Linked DNA regions of Elephas maximus indicus. The main gene of each other region encodes a partner of the protein of the gene in region 2 in a complex. Links are inferred from orthologs where the notes say so. Each region holds a gene or a part of one and is shown on either strand. Other genes may lie near its edges.

What was found.
Region 1: PPP4R4 (region 2) and PPP4R2 share a complex: the UniProt entries of both Homo sapiens proteins name them as parts of the PP4 complex. The link is inferred for Elephas maximus indicus from reciprocal best matches to the Homo sapiens genes PPP4R4 and PPP4R2.
Region 3: PPP4R4 (region 2) and PPP4R3A share a complex: the UniProt entries of both Homo sapiens proteins name them as parts of the PP4 complex. The link is inferred for Elephas maximus indicus from reciprocal best matches to the Homo sapiens genes PPP4R4 and PPP4R3A.

Annotation. Positions count from the first base shown.
Region 1 is NC_064838.1:20,592,610-20,600,482, forward strand, and holds the start of PPP4R2 (serine/threonine-protein phosphatase 4 regulatory subunit 2), read left to right. Parts: upstream 1-4,831; 5' UTR 4,832-5,059; coding exon 5,060-5,093; intron 5,094-6,076; coding exon 6,077-6,158; intron 6,159-7,873. UniProt on the Homo sapiens protein: Regulatory subunit of serine/threonine-protein phosphatase 4 (PP4). May regulate the activity of PPP4C at centrosomal microtubule organizing centers.
Region 2 is NC_064828.1:107,733,634-107,741,328, reverse strand, and holds the start of PPP4R4 (serine/threonine-protein phosphatase 4 regulatory subunit 4), read right to left. Parts: upstream 3,020-7,695; 5' UTR 2,897-3,019; coding exon 2,780-2,896; intron 1,400-2,779; coding exon 1,326-1,399; intron 1-1,325. UniProt on the Homo sapiens protein: Putative regulatory subunit of serine/threonine-protein phosphatase 4.
Region 3 is NC_064828.1:105,164,992-105,172,942, reverse strand, and holds the start of PPP4R3A (serine/threonine-protein phosphatase 4 regulatory subunit 3A), read left to right. Parts: upstream 1-4,924; 5' UTR 4,925-5,050; coding exon 5,051-5,192; intron 5,193-7,951. UniProt on the Homo sapiens protein: Regulatory subunit of serine/threonine-protein phosphatase 4. May regulate the activity of PPP4C at centrosomal microtubule organizing centers.

The DNA.
Region 1 (7,873 bases), on a different chromosome or scaffold from region 2:
AACTGGGGCTGCAGTTATCTGAAGGATTTCCTGGGGCTGCAGGTCTGCTTCCACCGCCTTAGTTCTTCTCTAGGTGTACCTTTCCACCCAGTTGCTCTAATGTTCTCTTGACATGGAAGCTGGCTTCCCAGAGTGAGCAATCAAAGAGCCCAAGGCAAAAGCCACAGTTCCCTGTATGACCTAGTCTCAGAAGTCACGCCATCACTGCCATTATACTGTTTTTGGTCACACAGACAGCTCTGATTCAGTGTGGGAGAAGTCTACAATGCATTGTTGTTGTTGTTTGCCATCAAGTCAATTCTGACTCATAGCAACCCCATGTGACAGAGTACAACTGCCCCCATTGGGTTTTTTTTTTTTTTTTGGCTGTAATCTTTACAGAAGCAGATCACTAGGTCTTTCTCCTGCGGAGAGCCTTGGGTGGGTGTGAACCCCCAACCTTTCGGTTAGCAGCTAAGAGCTTAACTGTTGTGCCACCAGGCCTCCTAATGAATCTCAGGAGGCAAAGATCATTGGGGGCTGTCATGGATTGAATTGTGTGACCCTCCAAAATATGTGTGGGAATTCTAACCCCTGTACTTGTGGATGTAATATAAACACCTTCCATAATGCAACCTAATGTTCTGTTAATAAGGCCACGCCAGGGTAGTGTCCTAAACCCAACCACTTCTGAGTTATAAAAAGAGTAGATTAGACACAGAAACAAACACATACTAAGTGTCTTAGTCATCTAGGGCTGCTATAACAGAAATACCACAAGTGGATGGCTTTAATAAAGAGAAACTTATTTTCTCACAGTTGAGTAGGCTAGAAGTCGAAATTCAGTGTGTCAGCTCCAGGGGAAAGCTTTCCCTCTGTCTGCCTACTCATCTTCCTCCAGACTAGGAGGTTCTCCACGCAGGGACCCCAGGTCCAAAGGATGCGCTCTGCTCCCAGCACTGCTTTCTTGGTGGTATGAGGTCCCCAACTCTCTGCTTGCTTTCCTTTCCTTTTACCTCTTGTAAGATAAAAGGGGGTGCAGGCCACACCCCAGGGAAATTCCCTTTACCTTGGATCAAGGACAGGACCTTAGTAAGGGTGTTACGATCCCACCCAAATCCTCTTTCACATAAAATTACAATCACAAAATGGAGGACAACCACACAATACACAAAATCATGAGCTAACCAAGTTGATGCATATTTTGGGGGGACACAATTCAATCCATGACACTAAGGAAGAGAGATGGCATGTGAGGATCACCAAGAACCAAGGAATGCCCGGGGCTACCAACAAGGAAGGAATCGACAGGGCTGAGACCCTGAATGGGACTGTTAGCCTACAGAACTGTGAGAAAATTAATTTCTGTTCTTTAAAGCCTCCACTTGCAGTATTTGCATTACAGCAGCAATAGGTAACTAAGATGGGCCATTGTGGAGGTTGGCTACCACATTTGTATGCTGTTATCCTCCACGGGAATTAGTACTAATAGGAGGCTTAAGGAATCACTGACATTGGGATACATGCTAGCTAGGGAAAAAAATCCAAGGAAGAAAGAACTAATGAACCAAAGGAAATAATTGTTCAGTCTCCTCTTTTGCCTCTTTTCCCCTTGCATTCTCAGCTCAAGTCAGACTGAATTTCTTATGTATCTTTAGAATGCACCTGGCTCTTCTCTTTCATTTCAAGGCATCTTGGTTTTTTGTTTGATAGCTCCTCTTCTCCTCCTATCTACTTCACTTCGCTCCCTTCCTCTCATAATTCAATGGTCTCAGCTTAAACACCACTTCCTCCAGGAAGCTTTCCCTGATTCCCTTAGGCTGTCACTGCTGTGTCCACTTTATTTCCTGTCACAGACCTTATCCAGTTTGGAAATGAAAGGCATGCCCAAGTGAGGGGAATGACTGATGAAAGGGACAAAGCAAGGAGGAAGAAATTAGCACAATGAGTTCCTCCAACACAGCACTGTCTAAGAGAACTTTGGGCAAGGATGGAGTTTTCTGTATCTGCAAGGCACAATACAAAAACCACTAGCCACACGAGGCTATTGAGCACTTGAAATGTGGCTAGTGTAACTAAGGAACTGAATTTTCAATTTTACTCCTGTTTAATTTACTGGAATTTAAACAGTCACATGAGGTTAGTGGAACTGTATTACACAGCCAGCTTTTACACTGAGACACCAAAACCAAACCTGTTGCTGTTGGGTCGATTCATTTTCGACTCATGGTGACCCCACGTGTTGCAGAGTAGAGCCATAAGGTTTTCTTGGCTGTAATCCTTATGGAAGTAGATCACCAGGCCTTTCTTCAGCGGTATCATTTGTTGAATTCAACCTGCCAGCCTTTAAGATAGTAACTGAGTGGAAACTGCTTGTGCCACCCAGGGACCTTTGTATAGCAAGTGACCTGCCTAAAAAAAAGACTGGGTGTCAGAAGTGCAGGACAGGCTTTTTATGTAGGCACAGTAGGCCCTTTCAGACTAGAAGGGGCCATGAAAAACTAAATTTAGTGCATCATAAGTGCTGACCAAGTGTTTGATGATGACACCCTATTGCCACCCCTACAAGGCTATTTGTAATTGAGCTGAATGCTGTAGACAATGGAAGGGAACTGGTTTTCCAACTACAACACTCCAGAGAGGTATTTTGGGTGTGGAAGACTTTTGCCTGCATCTGTAACCTAGGGTAAGAATCACAGCCACTACCTTTTAAGAGTGTCAACAGTTGTAACGGCTGCATACAAATTTGTGCTTTCTAAGACAAACCAAAGGAACTCTGGTGACATAATGGTTGAAGCCATTGACTACTAACTGAAAGGTCAGTGGTTTGAAACCACCAGCAGCTCCACAGGCAGTTTACTTTCATAGAGATTTATAGCGTTGGAAACCCTATGCGGTTGCTATGAGTCAAAATCGACTTGATGGCAGTGGGTTTGGTTTTGTTTGGGAAGACAAACCAAAGATCAAAGACTACAGACTTCAGTATGGATTACACCTTAACATAAAGAAAACAAAAATCCTCACAACTGGACCAATAAACAGCATCATGATAAATGGAGAAAAGATTGAAGTTGTCAAAGATTTCATTTTACTTGGGTCCACAATCAATGCCCATGGAAGCTGCAGTCAAAAAATCAAACGATGTGTAGCACTGGGCAAATCTTCTGCAAAAGACCTGTTTAAAGTGTTAAAAAGCAAAGATGTCACGTTGAGGAAGGACTAAGGTGTCCCTGACCCAAGCCACAGTGTTGTCAACTGCCTCATATGCATGCGAAAGTTGGATAATGAATAATAGGGAAGACCAAAGAATTGATACCTTTGAATTATGGTGTTGACAAAGAATATTGAATATACCGTGGACTCCAGAAGAATGAACAATCTGTCTTGGAAGAAGTACAGCCAGAATGCTCCTTAGAAGTGATGACAGAGAGACTTTGTCTCATGTACTTTGGACATGTTATCAGGAGGGAGCAGTCCCTGGAGAAGGACATCACACTTGGTGAAGCTGAGGGTCAGGGAAAAAGAGGAAGACCCTCAAAGAGATGGATTGACACAGTGGTTGCAACAATAGGCTCAAACATAGCAACGATTATGATGATGGCACAGAACAGAGCAGTGTTTCGTTCTACTGTGCACAGCGTTGCTATGAGTTGGATCTGACTTGACACGGCATCTAACAACAACAAGACAAGCCCAGAAACTGCCTTCTCTTTCTTCCTTTCTTTCATGACATTCTGCTAGGCTTTGGGAAGAGAAGGTGCAACAGTCCAGTGCCTTTTCCTTTAAAAGTTCACGGACATAACAAGAGCACAAAAATGTCCACACAAAGGCTGGGAGCCAGATGTCCCAGTTTCAGTTGCTGTTTTGCCGGACTTGCTCTGTATGCCTCAGCTTTCCCGTTTGTTAAATGTCAGCGCTGGAGAAGGATTCTGCAGTCCCCTGTTTAGTTTCCTGGGTGCCTAGGCAATGTAATCTTAATCACAATGATACTAAAAACAGCAGGAGCCTTGTTAACTAAGTGCTCACCAAGTGCCAGGTCCTGTAGTGCTTCATACACACCGTTTCACGCAATCCTCAATCCTGTTTTACAATTCCCATTTTATGACAAGGAAACTGAGGCTCTGTGAGTTGTAACTTGTCCAGGGCCACAGAGGGAGTAAGTAGTGGAGTGGGATTTGAATTCAGCTGATTCCAAAGCTTGAGCTCTGAATCACTTTGCTGTATGCGTTGCTTCTTTTCACGGGTGGGTCAGTGACGAGTGAACGTCGAGTTCAGGGGCAGAGGTATTCTTGTCACTATTAATAGCTGTAATACAGAGTGCTTTTTATTCATACTCTGAACGCTGTGTGTACACATTCTTCCTTAATTTTCACAGAAACTGCATAGATAGGGTGGTCGGAACCAGTGCCCTCACTGTACCAAACGACCCTATAGGACAGAGTGGAACTGCACCATAGAGTTTCCAAGGAGCGCCTGGCGGATTCGAACTGCTGACCTCTTGGTTAGCAGCCGCAGTATTTAGCCACTACACCACCAGGGTTTCCCCTCATTGCACAGATTGGGAAAATTAGGCTCAGAGAGGAGAAGTAAATTGCTCAAGGTTACACAGCTAGCTAGGGTACTCGAATCCTGCGAGTCAGCTCCCAACCCGCTCCTTTACCGTGCTGTCTGCAGTACCGCGGGGGCCCGCCGAGGAGCACCACGCAGGCGGAGGATGCGGCGCCCGCCACCAGGCCGGGTCGACGGGACCGCCCGGCGGCACGCCTCCGCCGCGCACGCGCTCTCGGGCTCCCGGCTCGGGGCGCGCAGCGGGCGCGAGGACGGCGGCGGGGAGCGTGCGCGCGGTGACGTGCCGGGCGCCATGTTGGAGGGCTGGTGGTAGCGGCTCGGGGAGGTGTTCGCTCTGTCGGTCTCGCTCTCTCGCTCGCTTCCCCCGGCTCCCTTCGGTGCCCCCCCCGGTCGCCTGCGTGCCGGAGTGTGTGCGAGGGAGGGGGAGGGCGTCGGGGGGGTGGGGGGAGGCGTTCCGGTCTCGGGGAGACCCGCGGCGGGAGGCGGAGGCTGCGAGGGACTCCGGGAAGCCATGGACGTCGAGAGGCTGCAGGAGGCGCTGAAAGGTGGGGGTGGCTGCCCCTCTCCCTTCTCCCCTCCTTCTGCGGCCCTCTCTCTTCTCCTTTCCGGGCCGGTGGCTCCGCGGCCCGGGCCCGGGAGGGCGCGTCTCCGGCTCCCCTCCCCCTCCCACCTCCCAGGGGCGGGGAGCCCTGTGGGCAGCTCCCTCCCGCCCCGCTCTGGGCTTTGTGTCTGCCGCCGGCGTCTGGGCTGGGGGAGGGGAGTCGGGGAGCTCTCGGAGGGGCTCCAGCCCCTCTCCCACCCCGGCGGGGACAGGTCGTAGCCCCTCGCAGGCAGGCTCGGTTCGCCGTCAGGCTCCCGCATGCCGGGCATCGGGGTGAGAGAAAAAGTAAAAGGGTAGGTGGGGGGGCGGCGCTGGCAAAGCAACTTTTAGGTTGTCTTACGAAGCCTTTCAGGGCTTCTGGAGGCATCTTTGCACGCGCCCTAATTCTAAAAGGTGGTCGCCTTCCAAGCAACAGGCTTGAGAATAGTGGTTCCCAAACTTGGAATATCATGGTTTCAGGGATTTGAGAATTATGTTTTGACAATTCAGAATCGTTTGGGGGTGGCTCCGTCGAGTAGGTGGTGTTCGTTACAACGTAGACTTGTGAACTTCACCTAGATAAACAGTTAATGGGGTCGGGCCTGGAGGTTTGTATTTTAACCGGATTCCCTGGTGAGGCGGATGCTGGTGTTCCCCGTGACCCCACTTTGGGAAACACTGTATTCAGGCTAGTTTTTGGAGAAGTCGAGTGCCCCCTTTTGGAGGCGTCCTGTTAGCAGTGAATACCAGTGAAGTGGGTGACATGTTGGAAGTGGAGCTTGGGAGGGTAGAGGTGGCTGTTTGGTTGAGAAGATGAGTTTTTAATTTTTATTTTATTATTGTTTCTTAGTATGGGGAAGGACTGGGAGGAAAGTTTGTATTAAGGTGTTGGGAATGGTTGATGGACTTTGGGAAATACTAATAACATTTCTTTCTTCTCTTATCTAGATTTTGAGAAGAGGGGGAAAAAGGAAGTTTGTCCTGTCCTGGATCAGTTTCTTTGTCATGTAGCCAAGACTGGAGAAACAATGTGAGTTGAAACCTGTATTCATTTTTATAAACGTATGTCATTCAGGATTGCATAGGACAAAGAAAAAAGTATATTCTGGAAGAATTATTAATCTGTGTCATTCCTACAGTTTAAAAACTATCATTTAAAGCATGTAATAAATATATACTTTTATTTATTTTATGCATGCTCCGTAATGCATTTTAAAAAATTGTTTACCTTTTTTTTTTTTTTTAACATCTACATTTAGGCCTGTTTAGAACTTCTTAGTCTGAAAGGGCCTGAGAAAGGAAGACTGTCTTTTCCATTATGACCCTTTTGGGCCATAATGAACAGCTTTATCCCCAGGGTTTTGTGGCTTTGATTGTTTCATGTTCTTTTGTTGGTCGTATTTTGTCTTATTGTCCGTATCCAAGCTTTTGTTGTCATAGATGTAGGTGTTTGAAGTGTGTGACTTCTATTCTCTTGAGTACTCGGGGTGATTATCTGACAAATTCCAGATGATAAGTTTTGACTGTCCTGTAAACTTTCTAGGATAGCTAACTTGTTACATATGCTTACCATTTTATTAGGCTTGTTTCCAAATGTTCTGAATTTGAAACTTGTAAATTAGGGCTGTTTTCAAAAGGAATATTCAAGTCCATTGTGTGTAGTTTGTGTGGCAGGAGTTGTTTTCACACTCTGGCTGAGTTAGTTTGTAGAGGGCAAAGTTAATTTGTAGAGAGCAACGCAGCTTCGATGACTTCCTTGTTGTCTTTCCTTTGGGTAATGGTGGGGGAACAGGAAGGAGAAAGATTTCTTTGGGTGCAGTGGTAATAAATGGGCTCTCCTGGCTCCCCTACTTCATGCCTATTTTCAAAATACTTTTTGAGGCCTAACAGAAGAGTGTGAGCTTCAAGTGATACGTAATTTCTGTGGTTTTATTAGCAAGTGTTCATTTTCACAAGTTTTGCTATGGTTGTAGTATAGTCCTCTGATAACCAAATTTAGAAATGAGAAAAACGCTTAAACTTAGAAAAAGTTAAGAAAAAAATATTTAAAACCTTGTCTCTTCATCAGCTAATCAGCTCTGTACAAACTGCCTTTCCTTCTTGATAAAAAAACAGTGGCTCTAAATGTACAGTCAAAAGTTTCTAAAAGACAGGTTTAAAATTTTAAAAAAATTTTATTGTAGTAAAATACACATAACAAATTTGTCATTTTAACCATTTCTAAGTATATAATTTGGTGGCATTAACTGTATTTGCAATATTGTGCAATCACCACCATTAATAAATACAGCTTTTTAATATCTTGCCTTACTGGATCACCGGCGGCTGAGAAATTTAATCTGATTTTTCTGAACAATTATTTGTCTTGATAGAGGACTTAAACAATTTTTTTCTTTTTTTTGTCAAGTTAGGTCTATATTTACTGAGAGCATTTTGTGTTAAAATGATTGGTGTTCTCAAATTCATCTTTTGACATTTAATGAAGTTTGTATTACTTTTAACTGTGGGCATGCCTTTTGATAGTGAAAGTTGCCATTTCTCTTATCCATTTATGGCTAAATGGAGCTTTGTCTAATTTCTAAGATTGTCATGGGAGAATGCAAATATAAAAAGTGAGAGTTCAGATCTCTTTGATGTTTTAGGATTGATGGGTTGCTTAAGGTACGAATTCTGTAGTTTTAACCATTTTTATTTTCATCGATACGTTATTGTAGCAAGAAAGCATTAACAGAAAGAATACTTGAA
Region 2 (7,695 bases):
AAATATAAAACGGGGCAATACCAAAGTAGGTTAAAAGCTGGATTATTCTCTAAGTAAACACCAAAAAAATACATGCTGTTAATTTATAGAGTTTTCTTTAAATAAATAAGTCAATGTGATGACAGCATGTTGTAATAGATCACCAAAAGAAAAGAAAAAACAACATCAAGAAAAAGGTCTAAGATCCAGAAATACTTTGAAATAATAGAATTATTTGAGAGAATGGCCTAAAATAAGCATGGTGGTATTCCGACTGAAGTAAGAAGAGACACTCAAGATGCCAATAGTTGTCTAAAGACTAAGAAGATGGAAGTCATAGAGTGGGATTTTTTTTTTTTTTTAAAGAATCATCCAGTAAATAACATGTGGCAGGAAACATGATCTATAAACCAGAAAGGAGAATAAGACACTTGCCAACACCTGAAACCAGCAAAGTAGACCTAAGCCAAGGAAACAAGGATGACCAATATCTTGGGAGGTAAATAACAACTAGTTTCCGAAATCTGAGTCTGAAAAACAAAAGTGAAGACTGATTTGTCAAAAGGGGGAAAAGCTTTGTACATGTAGAAAAGTTTTAAAGCAAATATACACAAAATGCCTTAAGAAAAGTTGTGTTTCCTAAGTATTTTCAGAGATAAGTTCATTAAGGTTCACCACATTAGCTTCTAAGAAGCTAAATCCACAAGAATGCAATTTTAAAAATAGTTGAGAGAAATCCCATAAATATTTGCAGTAATCATTTGCCTGAGAAAATTCTGTAGAACTTGTGAGAGTTTGAAACCTAAATAAGAGGAGGCTCAATTAACAAAAAGTCTCTTGGGCAAAGTTATAAAGATCATAAAAGTAAAAGTAATACAAATAGGATGCCCTGAGCAGCAAATTCCAACACTATGATATTTTGGGGTATTTTTTCTACATAGTAAATGGTATCTAATGGTCATAGCCTACAACAAGCTTAAAATTAATCACTGGATATTCTTGTCTCATTTAAACTCACTGAATCCTATGTGAGAACCACTAAAGCCAAAAAAAAAAAAAAAAAAAAAGAGATGAGAATCAACTCAAGCCATTAGTTATTTTAAAATGCTCTGCTCCCCCTCCTCCAAGCAGTATTCTATAAATCGGGTCTCTTATTTCAGTTCTCAAATTCATAAGTTCATACCTAAATCTAATTTATTCACAACATATTCAAGTGATTTGCATGCAAAAGTACTCTGTCAAAATGGTTAACCAAATCTGAACATCATCACAACATGACATCTCTGAAAGCATTCATCAATGCTGTCGGAAGAGCAGCCACTTCACAGAAAGCCTTTAGGAAATACCTGAGCAGGTAAACAGCCCTTTCAATATCACTGAGGTCTTCATCAACTGTCAGTCTTTCTATTTCTTCTGGTGTCTGTCAAATATAAAATACAAATTATGTACACAAACACTCAGGTCGATCTCGCCCGCCAATGACCCTCTGTGAACACCACCAATGAAAAAGTTTCACGATTCAGCATTATCAATGAAAACTAATCAAGGGTCTGAGGATTCTAGGAGACCTGAACAGAGAGAATCATGTCGCTAATTGTTGAGTTTGGGTGGTTGAGTTTGTTTTGGTTTTTTCTTTTTTTGTTTAATCACTCTTCTTCTAGCTTCTAGATCGCAGCTTGAGAATCACATCGTGCCTTCAGAACCTTGCAGAAATCCGGTGTTATATGCATATATTAAGTAAACACACAGTTTTTATTTTCAATAAGCCAAGGCTGTTTCTCCAGAATTTTCCAACCCAGGAAATGCTAAAAGGGGGATAGATGAAGACCGCAACGGAGTGGGTATGAAAAGGACGAAATCTGAGAGTGGGGGAAATCAGAGTCGAGAGAGGGAGGCAGGTGGGACTTAGAAGGGCTAAAGGGGCTCCGAAGCGGATGGCGGGGCCCGGGGGTCTGTAATCTCGGTTTGCCAGCAGCGAGGTCTACATCCTCCGAGGCTGAAGGAGATGACTCTGCGGGGTGGGGAGCAAGTGGGGGGTGGGGAGCAAGCTGAAGGGCTAGTCCCTCGAGGGGGGTGGGGAGCAGGGTCCCAAGTGGAGTTGAAGGGGCTGGGAGGAAACGGACGTACGGGGACTCAAAATGGGGCGACGGGTCCGCTCCTGAGAGAGCTTTGAAGACCGGGGCTGGGACGACTCTGGGAGGTGACTGGAGGCCCGGGCGGACTTGGGGCAAGCGGGACCCGAGCTGGCTCCGACAGGGGAGAAGGTCCGCGATGGAGGTGGGGATCGGGTGCCTCGAGGAGGGGTCGGAGGAGGGGGCGTCGGGGCTGTGCCGACTGAAGGACGGGCCCGGGGCCAGAGCCCGGCAGCACGGGGGCCAAGGCGGCCCCGGGACAGGCGGGAGGAAGGGGCAGCGACCCGGGCCGAGGCTGCGGTCGGAGCGGGGCGCCCCGGGCGGACGCGGGGCTGGCTCCCCCGGTCCTGGGGCCAGGCTAGGCCGGGGACGAGGGCTGGGGACCCCGTAGGGGCCGGGACCAAGGCCAGGGCCCCGTTCCTCGGGAAGAGGTCCAGCCTGGGAGAGCCGGGGCCGTGTCGAGGGGTCCCCCGGAGGGGCCGGTGCGGGCGACAAAGCGGCCGGGAGGAGTTGGGCTGTGAGAGGGTCCCGGGCCACGTCGGGTCGGGACGGTGCCGGGGGGCTTCGGCGGCGGGGCGGGGGTCAGAGCCGGCTGCTGGGGGCTGGGGGCCGGGGGCCGGGAAGGCGGCCGGGCGCCCTGCGGGCAGCCTCTCCTCCCCGGGGCGCACCTTGAGGCTCCGGCGGACCGGCCTCTCGATGATAGTGAGCTCCTGCAGGTCCTCCATGTAGCCGAACAGGCTGTTCTGACTGAAATCCATCGCGGCGGCAGGCGGCGGCGGATGCATGGACGGCCGGGCCCCCTCGCCGCCCGGGCCGGAGCGGCCCCGGGATGCCGGACGCGCGCAGCCCCGCGGCCGCCCAGTAGCAGCACTTTCTCCCGCTCTCCGCCGCGGGAGCCGAGCGTGAGGCTAGCCGCCGGCGGGAGAAGGAGCGCGACCGGCCGAGGGGGCGGGGCAGGCCAGCGAGGGGGCGGGGCGCGGGGCGGGGCGGAGCCAAGGGCGGGGAAGCCTCAACAGTGCCCGCCTCGGCCCCGCCCCCCCCAAGGCGCCGCGCACAAGGGGGCTGGACGCAACTGCCGCGCAACGTCGCGGCGGCCACCACCACCCTCTGCGCTCGCCCCTCTTCGCCCACCTCTCCGCTAGCCCCGCCCCGACTGAGCGCGCACCCGCCGGCAGCGCATGCGCAGAGCCCTCCGCCTGCCACGGCCGGCTGTGTCGGGCTGGGGGGCGGGGACGGGGGCAGGGAGGCTAAGCCTTTGAGAGGGGAAGCAATGGAGAGGGGGGATCGGGTCTCGGAGTGCTGATGGATGGTGCAGCGGTTAAAAACTCAGGCTGCCAACCTAAAATAAAGGTCGGCTTCCCGAATCTACCAGCCGCTCCATGAAGAGCGTATGGTGCAGTTCCTATAGGGTCGCTGTGAGTCTGAATCGGTTGGTGTTTGAGTTTTTTTTTAACCTTGCTCTTGTCTTTATAAACGCCCACCCCCGCTGGCGCGCTCCGGACGCAGAGACCACCCAAGCGCACCTCTAGCCCTGAGGAGGAGCAAATAAGCACCTCTTTTTTTTTTTTTAGTGCGTGCACGCCTGAGTGTTCGGGGAGAGGTGTATGGGAATACAATTCTGGAGGGGGCTCAGCTTGGGAGGACGGCGTTCAGAAAAGGCCTCCTGAGGGAGAGACACTTAGACTGATCTTAAAAGATCAAAAAGGCTTTACCGAGAGAAAGAAATAAAAGAGGCCCTTTGGGGCAGAGGGACCTGCTCGGCAGAGGCACAGTGGCTTAGAGCCTGGGCGTGTTTCGGTTGTGGGAAATGCAGTCGGAGTAGAGTTTGGGGTGCGGGGGGAGCGGGTGCTTGGTAAGGTAGGTGGAAGAGGAAGCAAGTTCTTTAGGTAGAAAAGCCCTGCTGTTGGCAGCCGCGTTACGTCGCTTGCACTTGCTCCTGCGGAGAACTGGTTCTCTGAAGAATGGGAAGCGTGGCAGGGGTGTTAGGGCGGTTTTCTGAACCTCGGGGGCAAGAGTTGTGCTCGTCATACTCTTTAATTGTCGTTCTTTCTCCACACTGCCATTCCTCTGCCCCATGTGCACCCTCTCTCATAGGTTTAGTTCTGTCCCAGCACGTGTATAAAACCCCTTGCTGTCGAGTGGATTCGGATTCAGCGATCCTACAGGACAGAGTAGAACTGCCCCATAGAGTTTCCAAGGAGCGCCTGGTGAATTCGAACTGCCGACCTTTTGGTTACCAGCTGTAGTACTTAACCACTACACCACCAGCATTTCCAGCACATGTACAGATCCTTGAAAGATACTGATGTTTTTAGTTTATGCATCAATTTTTAATAACACGAATGGTATTGTGCTAAAAAATTCATTGTTTTTCCAAAAACATAATGTTTTAGGGGTCTATCCATGTGGCTAGATATACTAAAAAAAGGAGTTCATTAATTCTGTCCACAAATCGTATTAGATTTGTGTCTAATAAAATTTACTTTTACTTTACTTTGTTGTTGTTGTTAGTTGCCATCTAGTCGATTCCTACTCTGCAAATAGTTAAATGCTGGACTATTAACGGAAAGGTTGAAGGTTCAAACCCACCCAGAGGGGGCCCGGAAGACAGGCTTGGCAATCTGCTCCTGAAAGGTGACGGATTGCGCACCAGGATTGCCATGAGTTACTTTTACTTTTTCTGTCTTCAAATGATGAACAGCTAGGTGGACCCAGCAGCTCCTTGCTACCACAGGTAATGCGGATACGACTGTTACACACGTCCCTTTATGGGCCTACGAGAAAGAAATAGGATCGTTGGGTCACGGAGTCTGTGCTTCACTCTGCCTGCTTGCTCTCCAGAATGGCTTTGCCAGTTTACACGCCCATCAGTCGCGTGTGAAGGTAGGAAAATTCCTGTTTCCCCACTTACATGCTAACATGTGGTCTTAATTTCTATCAGCCTGATATCAATAAAGTAGAATTACATTTTGGTTTTTCATTTTTATTTCTTTGATGATTGGTGATGTTACCCATTTTTCCATATTAAGAACCATTCTGGTTTTTTCTTCTGTGAATTACTTATTTGCATTCTTTGCCTATTTTCCTGCCAGATTTCCTATTATTTTTCTGAATGAATTGAAGGAGTTTCTTTCATATTCTAAATATGAATCCCTTGTCAGTCTTTGGTGTTGCAGACATCACCCAGTCTTTCATGCATCCTGTTAGTTTGGTCTTTGGTGTTCTACAATGAAGGGGAAATCCTTAATTTTGATGTAGCCAAATGCATCCAATTTCAGCCTTGTAGTGTATGCTTTTGGATTTTGCTTAAGACTTTTTCCCTTCCCAAGGTCACCAAAATATTCTCCTACATTTTTTTCTATTTGGCTTTATAATTTCACCTTTCACAGTTAGGTCTTAATCCACCTGGAGCTCACCTTGTATCACTTTGCATTTATTACAGTGAGCAGAAGGAGTCAGCTTTGTTTTCTCCACACAGTGAGCCAGTTTCCCCAGCAGCACCTACCAACAATCCATTTTTTCCCCACGGATGTGTGACGGGGCCCTGATGGTGCAGTGGCTAAGAGCTTGGCTGCAAACCAAAAGGTCAGCAGTTTGAATCCACCAGCTGCACCTTGGAAACCCTATGGGGCAGTTCTACTCTGTCCTGTAGGTTCCCTATGAGTCAGAATCAACTGAATGGCAACAGGTTAGTAAGCAAAGAAGATGTGTGACAGTGTCTCTGTTATATGCCAAGTCCCCAAGGACACATGAGTCTGTTTCTGGGCTCTCATTGCTTCTCTCTTGATCTAGATCAGTTTCTGTGCCAGTATGGCACTGGTTTTATTGCTATGGCTTTGTTATATGTCTTAATACCTGGTGGGTACCTAACACCCCACTCTTTACTCATTTTTTTTTTCAATATCGTCTGTGTAGTTCCAAGCAAAAGTCAGTGGTAACCCACCGCTGAATTTCAAGTTTTCTGATTCCCTAGTCCGCTATCGAAGTTGTCCAGGATTTCATTTTACTTGGATCCACAATCAATGCCCGTGGAAGCAGCAGTCAAGAAATCAAATGATGTAGTGTTTTGGGCAAATCTGCTCCAAGAGACCTCTCTAAAGTGTTTTGTTCTGTTTTGCATAGGATCGCTATGAGTCATAATTGATTTGATGGCACCTAACAATGACAAAAGTCCACTAAAAATGGAGCAGTGGTGATTTAGTGGTAGAATTTTCACCTCGCATATTGGAGACCTGGGTTCAATTCCTGGCCAATGCACCTCAAGCGCAGCAATCACCCATCTGTCAGTGGAGGCTTGCTTGTTGCTATGACGCTAAACAGGCTTTAGCAGAGATTTCCAGACTAAGATAGACTAGGAAGAAAGGCCTGGTGATCTCCTTCTGGAAATAAGTCAGTGAAAACTCTGTGGATCACAGTGGTTCAGTCCACAACCAATCATTGAGATAGCGAAGGACCAGGCAGCATTTCATTCTGTTGTGCACGGAGTCACCGTGAATTGGGGGATGACTGGACAGCAGCTAACAGCAACAAGAGCTCACTAAGGAGAAAAGTGGAGGGGAAAATAGAAGAGGGAGGAAATGTGCAAGGACAGGATGGAAAAGAAGCAGAGATGAGGAGAGGTGGTTTTCCTTGGCAAATTACCTTGTAGCCACCCTTCTTTGTCACTTCCTGAAGTTCTCTTCCTTTTCCCCTTAATTGTAACTGACACTAAATATTACTTCTGGCTAAGAAATCTTATCTTAGGGTTTTGTAACAGTATCATTGTCATCTGAGACTTGATGACATTCTTAACGAACAATTGATGGAGTGCTCCGGCATAGCTTTGATGTTTGCTCTTCCAGGGCAGGAGGCTGATGAAGGGAAAATGTTCAACTCGATGACCAGAATCTGTAACTGGTACAGTTACCACCCCATGGTGGAAGAAGCCCTCCCCAGTCTGGCTGCCAGGAAACCTGAGTCCTAGTCCTGGCGGTGCCACTGGAATAAGGTGTAATCTGGAGCCCTGTTTTCCTTATCTGAACTGTTTTCGAACGTGTTGTCTCCCTGTGCCCTCGGGGCAGCCCTGTGAGGTACACAGACATGCCTCACTATTCCAGTATCACACATGAACACCCAGCTAAGGGAAGCTTTAACCACTGCACCACCAGGGCTCCTTTAAAGCTACAGGGATATTGGTAATTTGTTACAGCAGCAGTGGGAAACTAATACAATTATTTGTGATAAAATACTTAAATTTGATTTTTACCTCAGACCATACCCAAAAATCAATTTCAGGTGAATAAAAGGCCTAAATGTGAAAGGAAAATCTTTCAAACTTTTGGAAGAAAATATGGGAGAATATCTCTGTGACATCTAAAGAGGGAAAAAATTCTTAAAAAGCAGAAGCTATAAAATTAAAAAGTCGACAAATCTAACCTTTAAAATGAAGAACTTGTATTCATAAAAAGACACCAATAAATGACGAGATGGACCACAGACTGAGAAAAGATATTTATGACAAATTAATCAAATAAAGATTATTGTCCAGGATCAAGAACTCCAGAAAAATCACTAAGAAGACAACTAAATAGAAAAGTAGGCAATA
Region 3 (7,951 bases), about 2.6 Mb from region 2:
TCTTCTCTACTGTTTCTTTCCACAGATGTAGTCAGTTTGATTACTGTGTATTCCATCTGGTGAGGACTATCATTTATGTTGTTGAAAAAAGGTATTTCCAATGAATAGGTTGTTGGTCTTGCAAAATTCTATCACACAATCTCCAGCATCGTTCCTATCACCAAGGCCGTATTTTCCAACTTCCACATTCCAAGCGCCAATAATTATCAATGCATCTTATTTGCTTGTTTGATAAATTTCAGACTGCAGAAGTTGGTAAATATCTTCAATTTCCTCATCTTTGGCATCAGTGGTTCATGTGTAAATTTGAACAATAGTTGTATTAACTGGTCTTCCTTGTAGGCAAATGGATATTATCCTATCACTGATAGCACTGTACTTCAGGATAGATCTAGAAATGTTCTTTTTAGCGATGAGTGTGACATTGTTCCTCTTCAATTTGTTAGTCCCAGCATAGTAAACCATATGACTGTCTGAATCAAAATGGCCAACACCAGTCCATTTCAGCTCACTAATGCCTAGGATATCTATCCTCGAGTGTTCCATTTCATTTTTGACAACTTCCAATTTTCCTAGATTCATACTTTGTACATTCTGTGTTCCAATTATTAATGGATGTTTGCAACTGTTTCTTTTCATTTTGAGTCATGCCACATTGGCAAATGAAGGTCCCAAAAGCTTTACTCTATCCACATCATTAAGGTTGACTCTACTTTGAGGAGGTAGCTCCTCCCAGTCAAGTTTTAAGTGCCTTCCGGCACTGTATCAGTGTTCTGCCGCTATTCTTTAGATTCTCACTGGCCAATTGTTTTTAGAAGTTTATCATCAGGTCTGTCTTCCTAGTCTGTCTGTCTGGAAGCTCTGCCAAAACCTGTCCACTATGGGTGACCCTGCAGTATCTGAAATATCAGTGGCATAGCTTCCAGCAACACAGAAGCCACCACAGTACAACAAACTGACAAATGAGTGGTGGGGGACTCCCATATAGCCCCCATTATCTTCACTGTCTTACACAGAGGTCATCTTCATGGAAGGCGCATTCTGGAGTCAAGCAGTGCATGACCCAGCAGCCCCGCTCCTCCTCTTTCCAGGACTTTTAAAGCAGGCAACACTATAAAATGATGAATGCAATGTGGATAAAGGTATGTAACACAGAATAGGTACAAATATCATGTAATGAATAGGCTCCATTGTATATTTTACAAGTTTATGTTATGCATGTAGGTGAAGGTACAAAGGCTCAGTGGAAACTTTTATGTTGAGAGCAGAGAAGGAATCAGTTACTTATTGAATCCTTAGAACAAACCTAGACATTATTCCTGTTCCTATTTTACAGGTGAGGAAACAGGTACAGAGAGGTTACCAAAAAAAACCCAAACTCACTGCCGTCGAGTCAATTCCGACTCATGGTGACCCTATAGGACAGAGTACAACTGCCCCATAGAGTTTCCAATGAGCGCCTGGCGGATTCAAACTGCTGACCTCTTGGTTAGCAGCCATAGCACTTAACCGCTACGCCACCAGGGTTTCCACGGAGAGGTTAAGCAACTAGTAAATGTCAAACAACTAACAGGCAGGACTTGGACTCATAATCCATCAGCCACAGCCTTGACCACAATGACAATGTATCTCCACCTTTTGTGATTGGCAACATGCTTTATTGAACTCCCTTGGAAATTTTCTCAATTCTATCACCATTTGTGGATGGTACAGCATTAAAAAGTGATTAAACTTTATTTATTTATTTGGGACAGGGAGTATTTAATATAAAGACCTATTACCTATAGCAGGGGATTGGAGGAAGGAGGGTTGGCTAGTAGGAAGTAAAGAGAACTCTGAAGAATGTTATTGTTGCTGTTGTTGGCTGTTGAGTCGGCTCCTGACTCGTGGTGACCCTAAGCACAAAGGAATTGGACCATTGCGACCCACAGGGTTTTCACTGGCTGATTTTTCAGAAGTAGGTCACCAGACCTTTCTTCCTAGTCTGTCTTAGTCTGAAAGCTCCACTGAAACCCGTCCAACATCTTAGCAACACACAAGACTCCACTGACAGACGGCTGGTAGCTGCACATAAGGTACCTTGGCCGGGTATCGAACCAAAAGTGGTTAAACTTTAAAAGTATTTACTGTCATTTAAGATTGTACTAAAATTTCATTCAAATAGATTGTATATGATTTGTAACTTAAAACAGAATTTTAACTTTTTTCGATTTAATAATTCTTGCAGTTTAACTTAAAAGGAATTTATTTAAAAAGTATCATTTTTCCCACAAATAAATTTACTGGTATCATAACCATTGCTGTCAAGTCAATTCCGATGCATAGTGACCCTATAGGACAGAGTAGAACCTCCACATAGGGTTTCCAAGGCTGTAATCTTTATGGAAGCACACTGTCACATCTTTCTCTCAAAGAGTGGCTGGTGAGTTTGAACTGCTGATCTTTTGGTTAGTAGCTGAGTACTTTAACTACTGCACATCCAGGTCTCCTTTATTGATGTCATGCCAAAACGAAAACCAAACCTGTTGCTGTCCAGTCAATTCAGACTCATAGTGACCCTATAGGACAGAGCGGGATGGCCCTACAGGGTTTCCAAGGGAAGGCTGATGGATTCAAACTGCTAACCTTTTGGTTAAGCAGACTGAGTTCTTAACCACTGCACTGCCAGGGCTCCATTGACAAAACTGCTCTCATGCCCTAATACTTGAAATCATGGCATTTTATTCTTTTAAGTAAAAGCATCCAGTTTTATTTTTAAATGATGAAGGTTTTGGGCTACTCTTTGCAAGCACTTCCATGCACCTGACATTGTGGAGGAGAAACGGTGCCACTTTCTGATTTTTAAATCTGCCAAGGCCAGCATCCCATGAAAACCCCTCAAACCCGGTAAATCTCTCAGCCTCGGGCACACCTGGCTGATTGGTCCTGCTCTCAGGGCCTCTCTGCATAGAAGGATATAATACAAACTACAGGACAGGGTCACTGCAAGATTCATGGTAATGCTAAGCACCTGAATTTGAAATGTGGCTGCTGCAACTGACGAACCAAATTTATTTTACTTAATTTTAATTAAAATTTAAATTTAAGAACTGATACTTAATTCAACTTTTGGAAATATTTTTGTTTGAACCAACTTGAGTTTGTGAATCTACTTTCTCAATTGTAAATTTAATGAAATTTAAATGTACATCAGAAGTTTCTATGAAAATTCTAGCATTTGAATAGAAATTTGCTCTAAGGTTAAAATACACATCGGATTTTGAAGACTTAATAGGAAAATAAATGTGAAATACCTTAATTTCTTATTGATTACACGTTAAGAAAACATTAAAAAGTATGGCATTAAATAAAATACATTATTAAACTAATTTTATCTGTTTTCTTTTTTTTTTTTTAAAGTGGCTACTAGAAAATTTTAAATTACATACGGCTCGCATTCTATTTCTATTGGACAGCACTGACATAGATGGTTTGCCAAACAGAAAAAGCCCTAAAATAAAATAGTGGCTATTATTTGCGTGAGATAAGAAAAACAATGTTATTCCTTTGTGAAGATTAACACTGCTTGACGTCAAGCAGGTGCTCCAAAAACAGTATTAGCTAGAAAATACTGGTTCTGATAAAGGAAGAGAAATGAAGGTCGCAGGTGGAATGTAAAATCAGGTTTTTGAATTGTCACTTGGCGCTTAGTTCTAGGCCCAGAAAACTTAAAGCTGTCCCGTTAGTGGCCTCGCCACGGAAGTGGGTGCCCCACGGCAGCTCCCAAGACTCGCGGTGGCCTCGCGGCCCAAACCTGTGGCCTTTCTCAGAAGCTTTTCAATTGCATCGCAAAGCGGAATAGCCTGGAGTCCCGAGCCTCCCGAACTCCGCGCCCGAGGGCGTCTGGAGCGCCTCGTCCAGCCACGAAGGCGGCCTGGATGGGGACACTCTAGGCGGCTGGTGCGCCGCGGGCAGAGCCACGGCCCCGAAACGCCCGGCGCCGGGAAGACAGGAGCAGCCGCGAAGGCGCCAGGGGAATCTGAAGCCCGAGAAGCCGAGAGCATGACGGCCTGAGACCGGGCCCAGCGACCCCAGTCGGAGGCGGGCCCACGCCCCTTTCGAACGCCCGAGCGGGGCTGATGACGAAAACAGGGCGCGACGGACGCACACACCGCCCCGCGCTCGCACGACGGTGCGCGCTGGGAAGCGCGAGGGTGTCCCGGGCCGTCACCTGCGCGACCAGCCTTCCGCCTCGCCCACGCTCTGAGCTCCCGCCACCTCGGCAACTCGGAGCCCGCCTCGTCCGAGGCCTCCGCGGAAGCGAGGCGCCAGGCCTCGCTTCTGTCTCTTTAAATGGTGGGGCCAACGGGCCGCCCCTGCAGCTGCTGCCTGGGAGGCCCCGCGCGCGCCTATTGAGGGACGAACCAAGATGGCGGCGGCATTGGCTCTGTGAGGAAGACGGAAGAGGCGGTGGCAGCGGCGTAGAGGAAGGGACTCCCAACAGCCAGGAGCGCTCGGGCGGCCGGGGGTCTCGGAGTCTCCTGATCAGCGGCAACAGTAGCAGCAGAAGCAGGCGGCCGTCGGTTTCGGACATTTGAAGAAGGGAGGGCGGTGCGGAGCCACCGGCTACGGTGGCAGGGTCAGGTATAAGGAAGGAAAACATGGCGGCGGCAGCCTGAGTAGGCGGCGGCGGCGGCGGCGGCGCGGGAAGCGACTTCGGGGAGCTCATGGCGGAGGCTGGGGCAGCGCAGTGACTGGCGCCCCGAGTTCCTACCGCGGGCGGCGGAAGGACGCGGAGCGCTGCGCGCCTTCTCGGGGCGGCCGGGCGGCCGGGCTCGCCGTGCCTGGACAATAGCGCCGAGGAGCCGCAGGCGAGGGAAGGCGGCGGCCCAGAGCTCGGGCCCGAAGGCGGGCCATGCGGGCGGCGGCGCGGCCCCGCGGCGGCCAGCGGCGGCAGTGAGGCCGGGGAGACCTTCGCTCGGCGGCGCCCTCCCGCCTCGGCTCCCGCCTTCCCCGGGCCCCTGCTCGGGCGACTCCGGCGGGGCGCCCGCCCCAGGCCCTGGGCGGCACGATGACCGACACCCGGCGGCGGGTGAAGGTTTACACGCTGAACGAGGACCGGCAGTGGGACGACCGAGGCACCGGGCATGTGTCGTCCGGCTACGTGGAGCGGCTGAAGGGCATGTCCCTGCTTGTCAGGGCCGAGAGTGACGGTGAGTGGAGCCCCTCGCGGCGGGACTCTGGTCGCCTCCACGGTTGTCGGGGGGCAGGGGCGCCCTTCGGACAGGATCGGAGGGGTCCCCGGCTGGGCTGCGGGGGCGCGGTGCCCAGCCGCCAGGGAGCTCCACGGAGAGCGCGCGAGTGTCTGCTTCTCCGAGTGCCTGGGGCATGTGGGTGGGAGGGGAGCCGAGCACGTCCGAGCTGCGCCGCCCGGGAGCGGGGAGAGGTCGGGGCCGGGGGAGCGCGGGGTGTGCGGCTCTTCCGCACCCGTGGGGTGACCTTGAGAAAGGCACCGCTGCGTCCGATCTTCCGCCTTAGTTCACCCATCTGTAAAGCAGCGAGATGACACTTTGTTGGAGCTAGGAAAGTTCTTCGCCAACTCACTCTGAAGAGCTTTTTACCCTGCACATGCTCTCCTTGTTTCCTTTTAATATCTCTCTGCTGCCTGTTTCTGATCCTGTTGCAGGTTGACAACAATGGTTCATGGATCTGGCGGCTACACTCGGCAGGGAAAATGCGCTTCTTTGCCCGGAGAAGATAGACTTGTGTTACTCAGTACTGCTTGCCTTTTTCAAAGTAGCAATGCCGACTTTTGTGGGTCGTTTTCATCTGTAAACATCTTGCAAAATTGGAATCATTCTATGCGAGCTTTTTTGGTTCCTTAAATATATGTTTATATTTTGGTTCAGGTAACAGGTGGGGAGAAGTTGGCAGATGTTTTTAAAATCGTTTAAGATCTGCCCTTGTGCCTCAGGCTTCACATAAACCCTTCACATTTTTTGTAACAGCCCTCCAGGTTCATAGACCACGTGGTGTCAAAAGTAACAGTGTTTCAGATTTATAAAGACTTGCTCCTTGTAAGGATTCCCACTTCTCTCAGTGCATACTGTGAATTACACTTAAAAGAATATAACCATCTCAGGGGAAACTGTTTTCACGTTGTTTCTTACCGGTTTGGAAGTAGTTTTATTTCACCTTTCTTGTTACTTTGCAGTCTAATTTTCCAGTAGCTTTTTCAGTTTATTATGGTTACAGTCGTTGGTCACATATCTGAATTATTACAAATTCATTTCAAGGAATTTTCCATTGGACACTCTAACCAGAGCTTCAGTTACACAAAAAACAAAATTCTAGGGATATTGACGTTCAGTTTGAACTGAAAAGTGGTACAATGGTAATTTGGAGTAAATTGTCTATGGGCTACCCAAATTAGCTTTAAACTGGAGAAAAATAATTTCTTTTTGGAGGCATTTTTAAGATTTTGAATATATTGGATTTATTTTTTTGAGACCTATCTGTCTCGTGAAATAATATGTTTGACTGTCAGGTGTTAGTGTTCTATTGTGTAGGACTATCACATAATAATCAGCTATCCTACAAGTCTGGATGTTTGGCAGAACTTTTTACTTAGTGAGTTGGAAAGGTTCAGTTAACTTCTTTTGAGATGACAGCATGTGGATCTTTGAAATCTCAAACGTAAAACCTTAATTCACATCATGTATTTAAACTTGACTTAATACAAATGAGTCTTTTGTTTAAAGTATTTTTAAACATTAAAGCATAATGTCATACTATCAAGAGGAATCATACGCTTCTAACATGGTAATTTAGGACTCTGTTTTTTTCCCAATTTTGATTTTTACCACTTTAGCAGTAGTCCCTAACGTCTTTCCCTCTCTTTGGAGGGAAAGTTGAATGACTAAAACAAATGGCTTCAGTTTTTATCTAACAGATAAAGAGAGCTAAACTAAATTACTGGTATGCTCTTGTTAAATTTGAGTTGTAAAGAAAACTGAATCCAAAGAGTGGGCTTAGAAAAATCCCAGGAAACTTGTGAAATAGTGTAGGAAACACTTTTAGTTTAATGATTAACATTTTTTCTAATAGGAAAATTCCAAATATGAATAATAATCGTTAAAATTTACCAAATGCCCACCATGTGCCAGGGATTCTTTTGGGACTTTTCTTGTAAATTCTCACAGCACCCCTCTGAATCTGAAATAGATACTATTAATAATTGTTTTTGTTAGTTGTAGTCAGATAAGCTCCAACTTATGTGTAACAGAACAAAATATAGTGCAAAAAAAGAGGTAGGTACTATTATTGCCATGTTTTACAGATGAGGAAAGTGAGGCTCAAAGGGCTAAGTAACTTGCTTAAGATCACATAGCCAGGTCAGTGTTAAGATCTTGCTTAAGATCTTTGCAGCTAGGGTCTGTGTTGAGGCAGGGAGACTATAATAATGCTGTCTCAAATGGAGTCTCGGTTCTTGTTAGAAGAGCTTGACACCTAACAATCAGAGAGGCAATTTCTGAATGGAAGTACTTGTGGCCCCCGTATTACAGGGCAGATCAGTCTTGGGGTTAGTATGTGCATCCCCTCAGTTGCTGAGTGCCTTAGTAGGTATATGGCCCACCTGCTTTGGAGGGGAGGGATGTCTGACTGAGCTATGGAGTGCATTTCTGGATCACAGCCTTATTCACTAGGTTCCTCATGGCAGTATTTGTTGTGGGAACATGTTTTCTTTAAATGTTCTTGTTTTGTACTGTCAAGTTGATTCCGATTCAGTGACCGTATAGGACAGAGTAGAACTGCCCCAAAGGGTTTCCTAGATGGTAATCTTTATGGGAGCAGATCATCAGGCCTTTTCTCCTACAGGGTGGCTGGTGGCTTTGAGCTTCTGAGCTTTCGGTTAGCAGCCCAGCACTTAACCATTGTGCCACCAGGGCTCCTTCTTAATGAAGATAAAAAA